Stegostoma tigrinum: one gene and its partner. The protein of the gene in region 1 interacts with the protein of each later gene in a pairwise test. Links are inferred from orthologs where the notes say so. Each region holds a gene or a part of one and is shown in the gene's direction. Other genes may lie near its edges.

Evidence for each region.
Region 2: the proteins of nap1l1 (region 1) and rpl23a interact in binary tests that used the Homo sapiens proteins (3 or more experiments, as listed by UniProt). The link is inferred for Stegostoma tigrinum from reciprocal best matches to the Homo sapiens genes NAP1L1 and RPL23A.

What each region holds. Positions count from the first base shown.
Region 1 is NC_081371.1:63,287,209-63,295,544, forward strand, and holds the start of nap1l1 (nucleosome assembly protein 1-like 1), read left to right. Parts: upstream 1-4,690; 5' UTR 4,691-4,790; exon of another isoform or gene 4,791-4,802; intron 4,803-8,336. UniProt on the Homo sapiens protein: Histone chaperone that plays a role in the nuclear import of H2A-H2B and nucleosome assembly.
Region 2 is NC_081380.1:27,120,036-27,128,449, forward strand, and holds the start of rpl23a (60S ribosomal protein L23a), read left to right. Parts: upstream 1-4,859; 5' UTR 4,860-4,953; coding exon 4,954-4,978; intron 4,979-6,584; coding exon 6,585-6,765; intron 6,766-8,414.

The sequences.
Region 1 (8,336 bases):
GCTGCCCTTGCGCTGGCCCTGAATTTTCACTGCACTGCTTTTAAAAGAGTCCTACTTTCCAATTGTAGACTTACCTGCATGTAACTGTTCCCAGTCTACGTTTGCCAGATGCTGTCAAAGGATATTAGGGTGGCTCAGTGGTGAGCACTGCTATCTGACAGTGCCAGGGACCAGGAGGCAAAATTCTCAGCCTCGGATGACTGTCTGTGGGGAGCTTGCATATTCTCAATGTGTCTGCATAGGTTTCCTCTTGGTGCTCAGGTTTCCTTCCACAGTCCAAAGATATACAGGTTAGGTGGGATAATAAGGTGTAGAGCTGGATAAACACAGCTGGCCAAGCAACATCTTAGGAGCAGGAAAGCTGACGTTTCGGGCCTAGACCCTTGATTGGCCACACTAAATGCAGGGTTACAGAGATGGGGTAAGGTGGTGGCTTTGGCGTGGATGCTGTTCAGAGGGCCTGTGCCTACTCAACAAGCCAACGGCCTCTTTCCACGCTGTAGGGAATTCTATGATATTGAAATCCACCTTCCCCAATTTAGACACTTAATTGCTGCACTATCCATATTCCTTTCCACAATAACTTTGAAACTTACAGAATTATGGTCACTATCCACAACAAGCTCACCCATTTTTTCTGAAGAAGGGTCTCGACCCAAAATGTCAAACTTTCCTGCTCCTCTGATGCTTCTTGGCCTGCTGTGTTCATCCAGCTTCACACCGTGTTATCTCAAGCTCACCCATTTGACTGGCTTCACTCCTTAATGTGAGGTCTCGCACTATCCCACCTCTAGCAGGATTATCTATGCACTGGCACTAAAAACTCTCCTGGATGCACTTTAAAAATTCCACCTTGTCTAATCCACGAACATTAAGGTGAACAGAGTGGGGGTCTAGACAGAATTTGTGAGAGGGGCAGCTTAGGTGGTGTTTGGAGGGAGAACAGGTGATGGGGAGGGGCTAAGTGGGAGGGTGTTTTGTGGGGGAGAGGGGGCAAGTGTGGGAGAGGGGTTGAGTGTGGGAGAGGAGGCAGAGAGGGACTGAGGGGAGGGGGAGGAATTTGTGGAGGGGGGTAGGGTGGGGGGGAAGCGGGAGAGTGTGGCGGGGGAAGAAGTCGTGGGGAGTGAGGTAAGTGGGGGGGATGGGTTGGAGGAGGACAGAGTGAGGGAGGAGGTGGTGGTGACAGGGGTGGAACTGGGGTCAGAGTGGAGAGTGGGGAGGAGGGGTCAGCAGGGTGGGAGAGGGAGAGTGTGGGGGGGGACGGATTGGGGGGAAAGCAGGGGAGGGGAGTGGGTGAAGATGTGGGGGGATGAAGAGGGGGGAGAGCGGGGGGGGGCAGTGGGGGACAGCGGGGGGGGAAGCGGGTGGGATGAGGCGGGGGAGAACAGGGAAGAGGACAGCGGGTTGGGGGCGAAGCCGGGGACGAAGTCAGGCGAGAGCAAGGAAAGCAGAGAGAGATGGAGTGGGGGGAGAGCAAGGGAGGGGTGTAGGGGGATGCAGTGGGAGGGATGAAGTGGTGGGAGTGTGGGGAAAAGGAGTGGGAGGAGTGCCAGGGAGGGGTGTGGGGGGAATGGAGTGGGAGGGATGAAGTGGTGGGACCGTGGGGAAAGGGAGTGGGGGGAGTGCCAGGGAGGGGTGTAGGGGGGATGGAGTGGGTGAGGCAAGGTGGGACACGGTTTGTCAATCAGACGGAGAGTGAGCATAGAACATTACAGCACAGTACAGGCCCTTCGGCCCTCGATGTTGTGCCGACCTGTCATACCGATCTCAAGCCCATCTAACCAACACTATTCCATGTACGTCCATATGCTTATCCAATGACGACTTAAATGTACCTGAAGTTGGCGAATCTACTACCGTTGCAGGCAAAGCGTTCCATTCCCTTACTACTCTCTGAGTAAAGAAACTACCTCTGACATCTGTCCTATATCTTTCACCCCTCAATTTAAAGCTATGCCCCCTCGTGCTCGCCGTCACCATCCTAGGAAAAAGGCTCTCCCTCTCCACCCTATCTAACCCTCTGATTATTTTAAATGTTTCAATTAAGTCACCTCTCAACCTTCTTCTCTCTAATGAAAACAGCCTCAAGGCCCTCAGCCTTTCCTCGTAAGACCTTCCCTCCATACCAGGCAACATCCTAGTAAATCTCCTCTGCACCCTTTCCAAAGCTTCCACATCCTTCTTATAATGCGGTGACCAGAACTGTACACAATACTCCAAGTGCGGCCGCACCAGAGTTTTGTACAGCTTCACCATAACCTCTTGGTTCTGGAACTCGATTCTTCTATTAATAAAAGCTAAAACACTGTATGCCTTCTTAACAGCCCTGTCAACCTGGTTGGCAACTTTCAAGGATCTGTGTACATGGAAACCAAAATCTTGCTGCTTATCTACGCTACTAAGAATCTTACCATTAGCCCAGTACTTTGCCTTCCGGTTACTCCTCCCAAAGTGCATCACCTCATGTCTGCATTAAACTCCATTTGCCACCTCTCAACCCAGCTCTGCAGCTTATCTCTGTCCCTCTGCAACCTACAGCATCCTTCGTCACTATCCACAACTCCACCGAACTTAGTGTCGTCCGCAAATTTACTAACCCATCCTTCTACACCCTCTCTGAAGAAGGGTCCAGGCCCGAAACGTCAGCTTTTGTGTTCCTGAGATGCTGCTTGGCCTGCTGTGTTCATCCAGCTTCACACTTTATTATCTGGGATTCTCCAGCATCTGCAGTTCCCATTATCTCTTCTACGCCCTCATCCAGGTCATTTATAAAAATGACAAAGAGCAGTGGACCCAACACCGACCCTTGCGGTACACCACTAGTAACTGGTCTCCAGGATGAACATTTCCCATCAACTACCACCCTCTGTCTTTTTTCAGCAAGCCAATTTCCGATCCAAACTGCTATATCTCCCACAATTCCATTCCTCCGCATTTTGTACAGTAGCCTATTGTGGGGAACCTTATCGAACGCCTTGCTGAAATCCATATACACCACATCAACCGGTTTACTCTCATCTACCTGTTTGGTCACCTTCTCAAAGAACTCAATAAGGTTTGTGAGGCACGACCTACCCTTCACAAAACTGTGCTGACTATCCCTACTCAATTTATTCTTTTCTAGGTGATTATAAATCCTATCCCTTATAACCTTTTCCAACACTTTACCAACAACTGAGGTAAGGCTCACTGGTCTATAATTTACCAGGGTTGTCTCTACTCCCCTTCTTGAACAGGGGAACCACATTTGCTATCCTCCAGTCGTCTGGCACTATTCCTGTAGACAATGACAAGTTAAAGATCAATGCCAAAGGCTCGGCAATCTCCGCCTTGGCTTCCCAGAGGATCCTAAGATAAATCCCATCCGGCCCAGGGGACTTATCTATCTTCACCCTCTGAAGGATTTCTAATACCTCTTCCTTGTGAACCTCAATCCCACCTAGTCTCGTAGCCTGTATCTCAGTATTCTCCTCGACAACATTGTCATTTTCTAGAGTGAATACTGTTGAAAAATATTCATTTAGCGCTTCCCCTATCTCATCTGACTCCACACACAACTTACCACTACTATCCTTGATTGGGCCTAATCTTACTTTCGTCATTCTTTTATTCCTTTAATACCTATAGAAAGCCTTAGGGTTTACCCTGATCCTATCCGCCAACAACTTCTCATGTCTCCTCCTGGCTCTTCTGAGCTCTCTCTTCAGGTCTTTCCTGGCTACCTCGTAGCCCTCAAGTGCCCTAACTGAGCCTTCACATTTCATCCTAACATAAGCCTTCTTCTTCCTCTTGACCAGAGATTCCACCTCCTTCGTAAACCAATGCTCCCGCACTCTACAGCTTCCTCGCTGCCTGACAGGTACATACTTATCTAGGACACACAGGAGCTTTTCCTTGAATAAGCTCCACATTTCTAATGTGCCCATCCCCTGCAGTTTCCTTCCCCATCCTATGCTCCCTAAATCTTGCGTAATCTCATCGTAATTGCCTTTCCCCTAGCTATAACTCTTGCACAGTGGTATACACCTATCCCTTTCTATCACTAAAGTAAACATAACAGAATTGTGATCACCAAAGTGCTCACCTACTTCCAAATCTAACACCTGGCCAGGCACATTACCCAGTACCAAATCTAATGTGGCTTGGCCCCTTGTTGGCCTGTCTACATACTGTGCCAGGAAGCCCTCCTGCACACACTGGACAAAAACTGACCCATCTATAGTACTCGAACTATAGTGTTCCCAGTCAATATTTGGAAAGTTGAAGTCCCCCATGACAACTACCCTGTCACTCTCACTCCTATCGAGAATCATCTTTGCTATCCTTTCCTCTACATCTCTGGAACTATTCGGAGGCCTATAGAAAACTCCCAACTGGGTGACCTCTCCTTTCCTGTTTCTAACCTCAGCCCATACTACCTCAGTTGACGAGTCCCAAACATCTTTTCTGCGTCTGTAATACTGTCCTTGACCAACAATGCCACATCTCCGCCCCTTTTACCATCTTCTCTGTTCTTACTGAAACATCTAAATCCCGGAACCTGCAACAACCATTCCTGTTCCTGCTCTATCCATGTCTCCGAAATGGCCACAACATCGAAGTCCCACGACGTAACGGTGGCGGGAGGAGTTTGGGGGTGCGTGCACCGGCCGGCGTGGTTTGGGGGCGCGCACGTAGAAGGCGGTCCCCGGGGCGCGCCCCCGCAGGTTATATCCAACCAATCGGCGGCGCCGCTCGTTCTTTAGCGCCATCAGAGAGAGCGGGGCTGGAGCGCGCGGAGAAAGCGAGAGGTACGGAGCCAGGTAGAAACCTCGGGGGGGGGGGGGTAATAAATAAACAAGTGAATGCCGGGGGTAAATTGCGGGGACATGGTGTTCCGGGGGCGGGTAAAAACGGGGCTAAGCCACAGGGAGGTTCGGGCTCTCGGCCTCGGGCTGGAATACCGTGTCCGGCCCGGGCCCACCGCCTCCAGTTGCGTTTGTGTCGCGTGTGCGCTCCGGGGCCTGAGGGGGCCCTGTCGTCGTCCGCCCCGGCTCCGGCCTAAGAGAGGCCCCGGTTAGCGACTCCCGTTTCGGTCCACCCCGCCCGAACACGTGGCGGAGGCCGCTAGGAGGGTGGGCCCGGTCTTGGTGCCGCCGTATGGTCTGTGGCGCAGATGCTGTTCGGGTCCCGCCTGGGGTTTCCCCCTCCCCGGGGAGGGGGCTCCTGCGAGCTGGGTTCACTTTAAACCCCATTCCCACCCCGCGTGAGCTCGGAGAGACAAGGTCGGTTCAGAATAAATCCTTGGTCTGTGGCCCGAGACTACACGTTTCCTCTGGTGTTATAACACCGTTATATCTTAATATTCCACACCCTGTTGTAACCAGCTCTCGATGACTTTGATAATAAAACCTTTTCTGATTACAATGTGTACAGCTACATCTAATCTAGTTGAGTGTAGAAGCGTTGACTGTTAGCAAGGCCGAAATCATCTGATTTTCGTGATGAATGGAATGAAAGGCTTGTTTTTGCAAATGTACTTCTAAGAATGTTCTAGGAAGGACAGGTTTATCTGATTTATCAACCAATTATAAGATTGTGTGCAGCATAATTAGACGTTTTTACCAGACAAATGATTTATCCAACGTTTCTAGGAAAAAAATCAGTAATCCTTAATCAACTAGGGATATCCCAGTGAAAATGGATGCCTGTAGAAAGCTAAGTCTTTGCTTATTTGCTTGTGTCAGTTTAATGTACACCATTGAGTGCACAGCCTAAATCAAGGATGATACTGCAGTACTGAGTGTTTGACTGTCAGGCTATTCCATATAACTTTAATCAGTGGCATTTGTGCTTGTCTTGGTTTTTAAAACGTCAAAGTTTCTGTGACGTTATGGAACGGTACCTTGGTCAACCTATCTTGCATGATGTACACTGCCAAACAATAGCTAAGCAGTGGTCCATTTTATTAATGGACTCTTGCTGTGTGCAAAATGGCTGTGTTGGTAGTAGAGTGTCAGTTGGATATTAAAATGTGAGGCTGGATGAACACAGCAGGCCAAGCAGCATCTCAGGAGCACAAAAGCTGACGTTTCAGGCCTAGACCCTTCATCAGAGAGGGGGATGGGGAGAGGGAACTGGAATAAATAGGGAGAGAGGGGGAGGCGGACCGAAGATGGAGAGTAAAGAAGATAGGTGGAGAGAGTATAGGTGGGGAGGTAGGGAGGGGATAGGTCAGTCCAGGGAAGACGGACAGGTCAAGGAGGTGGGATGAGGTTAGTAGGTAGATGGGGGTGCGGCTTGGGGTGGGAGGAAGGGATGGGTGAGAGGAAGAACCGGTTAGGGAGGCAGAGACAGGTTGGACTGGTTTTGGGATGCAGTGGGTCGGGGGGGGAAGAGCTGGGCTGGTTGTGTGGTGCAGTGGGGGGAGGGGACGAACTGGGCTGGTTTAGGGATGCAGGGGGGGAAGGGGAGATTTTGAAACTGGTGAAGTCCACATTGATACCATATGGCTGCAGGGTTCCCAGGCGGAATGAGAGTTGCTGTTCCTGCAACCTTCGGGTGGCATCGTTGTGGCAGTGCAGGAGGCCCATGATGGACATGTCATCTAGAGAATGGGAGGGGGAGTGGAAATGGTTTGCGACTGGGAGGTGCAGTTGTTTGTTGCGAACTGAGCGGAGGTGTTCCGCAAAGTGGTTCCCAAGCCTCCGCTTGGTTTCCCCAATGTAGAGGAAGCCGCACCGGGTACAGTGGATGCAGTATACTACATTGGCAGATGTGCAGGTGAACCTCTGCTTCATGTGGAATGTCATCTTGGGGCCTGGGATAGGGGTGAGGGAGGAGGTGTGGGGACAAGTGTAGCATTTCCTGCGGGTGGTGGGGTTGGAGGGCAGTGTGGAGCGAACAAGGGAGTCACGGAGAGAGTGGTCTCTCCAGAAAGCAGACAGGGGTGGGGATGGAAAAATGTCTTGGGTGGTGGGGTCGGATTGTAAATGGCGAAAGTGTCGGAGGATGATGCGTTGTATCCGGAGGTTGGTAGGGTGGTGTGTGAGAACGAGAGGGATCCTCTTAGGGCGGTTGTGGCGGGGGCGGGGTGTGAGGGATGTGTTGCGGGAAATACGGGAGACGCGGTCAAGGGCGTCCCTGCAGCCATATGGTATCAATGTGGACTTCACCAGTTTCAAAATCTCCCCTTCCCCTACTGCATCCCTAAACCAGCCCAGTTCGTCCCCTCCCCCCACTGCACCACACAACCAGCCCAGCTCTTCCCCCCCACCCACTGCATCCCAAAACCAGTCCAACCTGTCTCTGCCTCCCTAACTGGTTCTTCCTCTCACCCATCCCTTTCTCCCACCCCAAGCCGCACCCCCATCTACCTACTAACCTCATCCCACCTCCTTGACCTGTCCGTCTTCCCTGGACTGACCTATCCCCTCCCTACCTCCCCACCTATACTCTCTCCACCTATCTTCTTTACTCTCCATCTTCGGTCCGCCTCCCCCTCTCTCCCTATTTATTCCAGTTCCCTCTCCCCATCCCCCTCTCTGATGAAGGATCTAGGCCCGAAACGTCAGCTTTTGTGCTCCTGAGATGCTGCTTGGCCTGCTGTGTTCATCTAGCCTCATATTTTATTATCTTGGAATTCTCCAGCATCTGCAGTTCCCATTATCTCTGTCAGTTGGATATGCCTTTTTTTCCCCTAAATGCTAGGATGGGATCTTAAAAATATCCTCTGAGTCTAGTGCATCCGCATCAGTGGTGTGACACTTTTGAGCTTTTACTTATAAATTCTGTGTCTGATACCATCTTTCTCAACACCTGAAGAAGCAGTAAGACTCTGAAAGCTTGTGTTTTCAAATAAACCTGTTGGACCATAACCTGGTGTCATGTGATTTCTGACCTTTAGAAAAGAGCCCAAATCGCCCTTGGCCTGTGAACAACTTAGCTCAAGGAAGTGATGTTCTAGTTTCAGCCTTTTGAGATGTGCTTCTGTGGAGTTGAAATTAGCATCATTTGAAAGCTTCAGTCCACCAAAAATCTGTCTTGAAATTTGTAGAACTCTAGTTTTGAGACATTAGGAGCAGTATTTTTTTCCTCTCGTGTAAGTCAGGTTGTTTAAAGTATCTGTGTTTGTGATATTCTCTGAGTTGCCCGGGAAAATTACTTTGCTTGAGTTAATAAACCAGAGTATGATGGCTCATGCTTTTCTGTAGTCATTGTGACATGACGAGACCAGCATTTGACGCCCATCCCTAATTACGCCTTGAACTTAGTAGAAACAGTAGTTAAGAGTCAGCCACATTGCAGTGGTTATAGGTCTGGATTCGCATGTGGGCCAGGTAAAGACAGCAGATTTC
Region 2 (8,414 bases), on another chromosome or scaffold:
ATTCTATTATTCCAAAAGCTGACATTCACTGAGAAATTGTACTTTTCATACACAGTATCAAAGCTTAACTTCCCGAAATGTATAACTATAAATTATTGAGGTAAATTACTTATTTAGAAAATACATTACATGTTTCACACTAATGCAGAAAATGGAAAAAGTATACCCTGATTTCTGCTCACAGGAGAAAAACTACTCCCACAGATTGATGCAGAGATATAATAGCACAGCAATAATAATATAGACAAAACACCAATGGCAGAACAATGATCCAACTGTTGGTTGAATATTTAAAACACATCAGGAAGTTCCTGGGGACACAAATTTAGATTTTCTCACCTCGTCCATTGCATGTAATTTGTATCAGGGGAGGGAGTGAGGGTAGTGACTATGTTCCCAGTGGATTTCTCTCAATCACACACCTGTTGCCATTACCGAGCACTGCCGGGGGAAAGTGGCATTTGGCCCCAGCAAAGTAGCCATAATGACCCTGAGGTCTCTTTAAACAGATTGGAGAGGACCATGTTGTGACCTCTCCCTTTATTTAAACTGCGATTTACCTTCTTTTGTAGTCCTTAGCTTCTGTGTTCAGAACTATTAAGCTTTCAATCTGCAGATATTTGAAACACCTCTATCTCTCTCACTGCTCAGCCACCTCCTGTTGATTTGCACAAGTACTGTAGCAATGTTGAGATTTTGAAGTGGGGTAAATAACAGGCTTCCTTGTGATGTGAGCATGTCATTGGATACTCACTGAGCATCTTTGGCGAATGCCCACTCAGAAAGCTAGTATGTTGTTTCAATTCATGCCAGAGGTCTGAGTAGAAGTTACACCACATGTAGACTCTGGCATCAGTAGGAGAATTGTTGGCACAGTATCTGATGTTAGATAAGTGAAGAGATATCTCAAGCTCCTTTTGCCTCTTCTACGAAGTAAAAAGCAGTGAATACAAAAGTTGAAGACCCGGAGAAATTCCCTGGGTTATAAAGTCAGCTCTTCCATTGAAGATGTTTCTTCATAAATAAAGTTCAAGCAGACATGTGGCTACAAAAACAGGTCAAAGGCTTGGAATTTTGTGGTGAATAACTCACCTACAGATTCAATTCCAAAGCCTGTACAGGGGGTATGATGGAATACTCTTAACTTGCCTGAGCCACTACAGCTCCAGAAACATTCGAGAAGCTTGACACCATCCAAAACAAAACAGCCTGCATGATTGGCACGCCATTGCCAACCTAATACATTCACTTCCTCCACCGCTGACGCACATTTGCACAGTGTAGTGTGTTCTATATAGAAGATGAGCACTGCAGCAGTTCACCAAAACTTCTTTTACAGAAACTGACAAAAGCCTGCAATCTTCGCCACTGAGAAAGACAATGGTAACAGGTGAATAGAAGCACCACCTGCAAATTCCCCTCCAATGCCACACATTATTCTGACTTAAAATATTTCATTGTTCCTTTGCTGTCAAGTATTCAAGATCCTAGAACTCCCTCCCTAAAGCATTGTGGGTGTATCTGCCTCATATGGACTGCAACAGTTCAAGAAGGCTGCTAAAGGATGAGTAGCAATGGGCAATCATCTTTGGCCCAGCTTACATTTCATGAACGAATAAATAAATATATATCACATTAAATGATGAGCTGTATGATTGGAAAATTACTCCTTTTGGTGATATTTCTCTTTATCTGGCTTAATAATAAAGTAAATTATATTTTGAGCTCACCAGTGCCAAAATGTACTGCAAACATTCATTCAGTCAAACATCCTAGACAGCCCAACACAGCTTGCAACCCGGTAATGAAAATCCAATGGCATTCCCATTGAATTGTAATTACCATCGAGCCAACACCTTAAATGGGCAATCTGTGTATTAACCATGCCACAGAGCAAACAAAAGCACTGTTGGAGGTGTCCTCGTGCCTACTACTGTCTTTTAGAATGTTTTTATCTGCCTGATTTCTAAGTAAGCAATGGGTAGATACAGAAATTGAGACGCAAACGCATTCCACTGTCCAGCAACTAATTGAAATGCATCATACAATGATTAATAATCTGTTGAAAAAGAGATTCAAAGTATAAACCAACACACAAGTTAACTTAGTTTCCACGCAATGAATAATTGAACAAAAAGCAAATTGATAAGATTTTGTATTTTGTATGATACAGAAAATGAATAAAGACATTTCTCTGAAAAAAAATTTCAATATACTTGAATGGATCTGAACAATAAGAGAGCTAATTTCCTGCAAGGCAAAAACTGCTTATGGCGTAGATATGCTTGCAAATGCTGATTTACTGTATTATTTTGGAATGTAGTTGTGATTCTCATTTCTGGATCACTCTCACTATTTTATCTTCATCCCACAGACAGCAGTTTTTTTACATGAGAGCAGATTATCTCCTGCATAATTACAATGTGGAGGTGCCGCTGCTGGATTGGAGTGGACAAGGTCAGAAATCACACATTACCAGGTTATAGTCCAACAGGTTTATTTGAAATCACAAGCTTTTGGAGTGCTACTCATTTGTCAAGTGAAGCAAAGAGAAGCATATAGGCACAGAATTTATAGGCAGAGAGATCAAAAGATCATACAAATGGTGTCAATGGAGTGTCGACGGGCTGAATAGGAAGTCTCTGCAAATGATCAAAAGTGTCAGCTTGTAATTTCAAATAAAGCTGTTAGACTATAACCTAGTGTCGTGTGACTTCTGGCTATGTAATTATATATTTTAATTAATGATGTTCAAAAACTGCCACAAGAAAAATGAAAGAAGTGCATTTGAATGCAAGTTTTTTAATAGAAAATCTGCACTCAATTTTCTGTGGCATTGCACAAGGTGCGTCAAGCCCGAATGTTGTCTTCAGCTGTTGAAAGGGAGGAATTAGATGGACTACAGCACACAGTTGAAATTTATTCCAGTTTGAAGTCAAACATTTTAGATCATAGAATCATATAATCCTGACAGTGTGGAAACAGGCCCTTTGGCCCAATAAGTCCACATCGACCGTCAGAGCATCTCACCTAGACCCCCTAATATACACATCCCTGTACACTACAGGCAATTTAGTATGGCTAATCTACCTAGCCTGCATATCTTTGGACTGTGGGAGGAAACTCGAGCACCCAGAGGAAACCCACGTAGACACAGGGAGAACGTGCAAACTCTGCACATACAGTTGCCCCAGGTTGGAATCAAACCCAGGTCCCCAGTACTGTGAGGCAGCAGTGGTAACCACTGAGCCACTGTGCCACCCAAAATCGTTTACTTAGACCAATGAGCCACCCCCTATAATGCTTATATTTCCAATTGCAAATAGCCTATGCCTGTTATGTCATCTTGCTGAATAAGGTGAAATAAAATAGGCTCACTAATGTCCTTCAGAGATGGAAACTGCCATCCTTACTCAAGTCTGGCCTACATATGATTCTAGACCCACAGCAATGTGGCTGACTCTTAACTGCCCTTGGTGCAATTAGGCATGGGCAATATGTGCTAGTCTAGCCAGTGACGCCCTCATGCCATGAATGCATTTAAAAAAAGAAGCAAAGGAGATAGGAGCAGGAGGAGACCAATCAGCCTGTTGATCCTTCTCTGCCATTCAGCATGATCATGGCTAACCTTCTAGCTCAATGCCATTTTCCCACACTGTTCCCGTATTTTGTCTTTAATATGTGCAAATATTTCGACATATGTCTTGAACGTACTCTGAGCCTTCAAATTCCTCTGGAGTTGAGAAGTCCAAAGTGAAGAAATTACTTATCATCTTAGTCTTAAACAGACTATCCCTTTTTTCTGAGATTATGCCCCCACTTCTAGAGTCCCCAGCTCCATGAAACATACTTCTTGCATCTACCTTGTAAAGCCCTGTAAAAATATTGTATGTTACAATGACAAATAATATCACCTCTCAGTCTTCTAAACTGTAAGGAATAAAGGCTCAGTCTCCTCATAGGAAAATCCTGCCATCCTAAGAATCAGTTTAGTGCAATCTGTCCATGGTAAGCATAACACTCTTAAGGCTGCAAGACCAAAATTGTACTCTTTAAGTGTGTTCTCATGAAGGCTGTGCACAACTTCAGCTAGACACCTTTACTCCTCTGATGCTGCCTCTATAGGAGGTCTTTAATAGGTCTTCATCTTTACTAAATGAAAAGATTAATTAGGCAGTTTCCATGATAATTGGACCAGTTGACAGGAATTGATGCAGATGTCAGATTTTTAATACATTGACAGAAAGAAACCCTGTTTAAATTGTATATCCTTGATGTTACTTAAACTCTGCACATTGCAGGTTACTTAATCAAATTTCAATACTTTGAACATTCAAAAACAATTACAAATTGTCTTGTTATACTGTCAATTACTTAAATATTCTTACGTCTAAATTTGATGATCCAAGTAATGCAATGGGATTAATGATTTGAATGCAACTCATGTAATTTAACCTTCTTTAACAATTTTTCTAATTATTCACACCATAGAATATAACAGTGCAGGCTTCTGCAAGTCTTTGCTAATAGATATATGAATGCACCTAATAGATGTGGTAGAATTTTCAGGTTGTGTGTGATAAATATTTCAGAGCATATGAAGAGAATGTAATGTAACTGGAAAAATACATGGGCTCTTGTGGAGCAGTGATAGTGTTCATTTGTCTGAGCCAGAAGGCCCCAGTCAAATCCCATATGCTCCAGGGGTATATCCTAACACAGTGATAAAATACGATAATACAAGCTATTACATATAAAAACATTTATCACTGGAGGGGTGACCCAGTCAATCAGCAAGTCAGAATGAAGACTACACACAGAGAGCGGACTACAATTCCCATAGGACTTTGCGCGGAGGTGCATTCTGGGGCGAGGTGTGGAACTCTCGCGAGATCTCTCTGAACTCCCTGTTCTTTAGGCCGGGAGGCCCCGTAGACAACCTCTTTTTCTAAGATGGCTCCGAAGGTGAAGAAGGAAGGTGAGAGGCTCCGGGCCTGGTGCTGGAGTTGTTGTTTCAAACACCGACAAACAGGCTGTTGGCAGTCTCTCCGGCAAGAAGGAGACTCGGCTCTTCCTCATAGGAAGCTAATTGCTCCGTATCAATTCTAAATCGCCGAGATACTCACCTTCGGTCGGATCGGCCGCCCGCCAACGTGGTGGCTGCAGGGCCTGAGGCCTGGGGTTTCAGGCTGGCGAGGGGGTGTTTGACAGCACCGAGTCTGGGTGCTGGCGGTTTAACCTGCACCAGGAGTGAAAAATGTCATGGGGATCCCGGCCTGGACTGTTCCAGGGCTCGGTCCCTCATGTGGAAATGGATCCAGCAGTTCAAAAGCTCTGATAGCAATATGGTTTTGATTTGGCTTGGATTGGCCGATGCTGGTGTTTCTATGCCAAGTGCTATTCCTGTGCCGTTTAGAAGCCTCTAGTTGGTGAACTGTAAATGTATTAATCGTTAAAATCGGGTCTACGAGTGTCCGGAGTACATTAGTGCATTGCAGCACTATCATATGTGTTTTAATAGCCAATTGAAAGCAAATTTCTGCTCATTTTGAAGTTAGCGTGTTTTATAAAATGTATAAAGGTTAATGGGATCTGCAGGAGGACATCTCGCCCATCCCCAAGATTCATTCACCAAGATCATACTTGATCTTCTGCCTCAAAAGACTTTCCCACCAAATGTCTCATTTGGGTCTGCCTAGCTCAGTTGGCTCAACTGCTGTTTTGCGATGTAGAGTACTGTTAATATTCACGGTTCAAATCCAGCAGTACCTGAGGTTATCCTGAAGGACTTCTTTTCAACCTCTTCCCTCACGGCCCATCTATTCGTTAATCCAAGATAATAAAGTGTGGAGCTGGATGAACACAGCAGGCCAAGCAGCATCTTAGGAGCACAAAAGCTGATGTTTCGGCCCTAGACCCTTCATGCTCCAATGGAGGGTCTAGGCCTGAAACGTCAGCTTTTGTGCTCCTGAGATGCTGCTTGGCCTGCTGTGTTCATCTAGCTCCACACTTCGTTATCTTGGATTCTCCAGCATCTACAGATCCCATTATCACTATTCTTTAATCCAGCTGGATTGTTTAGCTCAGTTGGATAGAAAGCAGGGTCATGCAAACAGTGTGGATTTAATCACCACACTGGAAGAGATTACCATGAAGGATTCTCCTTCTCAACCTTTTTCTTTACCTGAGGTATGGGGACCCTTGGGTTAAACCAGTTGTGTGTATCTTTTCTCTCTCTAGTGAGAGCAGCCCTATGGACCGAAAGGACGATGGCAACTTTGTTTCTCTTACCTGTGGCCTAACAACTCTACTCGTTATAAATCCAGTGATTTGTCTTGAAAACACAAAAGATTCTGTTCCCTCTGCATGAAAATACCCTCCTAACCTCTGCCTTAAATGGTATTCTCTTTATCCTGAGAAACAGTCCCCTCCCTAACTGCCCTGTTGAGCCCTGTAATAATAATCTAAAATTGCTAAGATTTTAAAAATCAAGCTGTGTATAACAGTTATTAAAAATGATGTTTAATGTTCTTGCTGGAAATAAGATGGGGCAGGTATAATAAAAGACTCTTTATCATCTTTAGCTGTCCCTGCCAAAACGGAGGCTAAATCCAAGGCCTTGAAAGCAAAGAAGGCCATTTTGAAGGGAGTTCATAGTCACAGGCAGAAGAAAATTAGGACAACACCTACCTTCAGGAGACCAAAGACACTCAGACTGAGAAGGCAACCCAAGTATCCCAGAAAGAGTGCACCCAGGAGGAACAAGTATGTCTTCAAACCATTCATTTTTTTTTCAATCAGCTTTACTTCGCTTAATTGCCATGAGGGCTTGTATTTGAAATTCTCATCTTTTCTAGAAAGGAGAGTAAACTTGGCATTTCTTTTCCTGGAGAAAAGCAAAGCACTACTGATGCTGAAAGTGTCAGGTTAACATTTCAGATTAATGACCTTGCACCAGAACTGGTAAAAAGAGAAATATTGATTTCAAGGAAGGCTAAGATACTTTATGCCAAAGTATGAGACCCTCAGCAGCCATATGTTGAGTTGAATTGACTCTTCACTGTGTGTTGGTCTGTGGCTTTTCCATTGCTGGCAGTGGAGGTTTTCACTGGTCCGCAACCTGTAGATACTGATCAATTTTGTTAGTCCAGTTAGTGTTCCCTAATCCAGTATAGATGCTGGGTTGAGAGTTCTTTGTGTGTACTAAATATTCAAAGCAGTAGAGTCATAGGGTAATACAGCATGGAAACAGGCCCTTCGGCCCAAACTGGTCCATGGTGCCTACTTAGTTCCAATTGCGTGCATTTGGTCCATAATCCCTGTTAAACCCTTCCCATCCATGTAGCTATCCAAATGTTTTTTAAATGTTAATATTGTACCTGCCTGAACCACTTTCTCTGGCAGCATCCACCACCACTCTCTGCATGAAGAAGTTGCCCCTCAGGTCCTCCCTAAACTTACTACTATTCGTAACATTCTTGGAAATTTTCACACACTTTCCAGTTTAACTATGTCTTTCCCAAATCAGGATGACCAGATCGGACACAATACTCCAAGTGTAGTCTCACCGACAACTTATGCAACTGTAACGTAACGTCCCAACTTCTATACTCGGTACCTCGACCAGCGAAGACCAGCATGCTAAATGCCTTCTTCACACCCTGTCCACCTTTGACACTGCAGTCGCTGAATAATGTACTCGTCCTCCTCAGTCCCTGTGTTCCACAACACTCCTCAAAAACTTGCCATTTACCATGTAAGACCTACCTTGGTTTGATTTTCCAAAATGCTACACGTCACACTTATCTGTATTGAATTGCATTTGCTAATCCTCAACCTACTTCCCCATCTGATCAAGACTCCTCTATAATTTTTGATAACCTTCCTCACTATCAGCAATACCTCCTAATGTTTTATCACCTGGAGACTTGCTAATCATGCCTGGTACGTTCACATCCAGATCATTTATGTAAATAACAAACAACAATGCCTCAGCACCGACCCCTGTGGCACTCCACTAGTCACAGATCACCAATCCGAGAAACAACCTTCTACCCTTGAGCCACTTTTGAATCCATTTAGCTAGCACTCCCTGAGTCCCATGCAACCTAACCTGACTAGTTTTTACATGTGGGACCTTGTCAAAGGCCTTGCTAAAGTCCATATAGATAACATCCACTGCCCTGTTCTCATCTATCCTCTTGGCTATCTCTTCAAAAAAACTTTAAAAGATTTGTCAGGCATCACTTCCCACGCATGAATCCATGCTGATTACCCCTAACAAGACCTTAACTATTCAATGTTGGTTGATCCTGTCCCTTAGTGGCAGAAGGGTTATTGGAGAGGATACTGATGTCAGACTTGCTAGCCTGTAGATCACTGGCTTGCCTTTGCTATCTTAAAACAATGGAGCA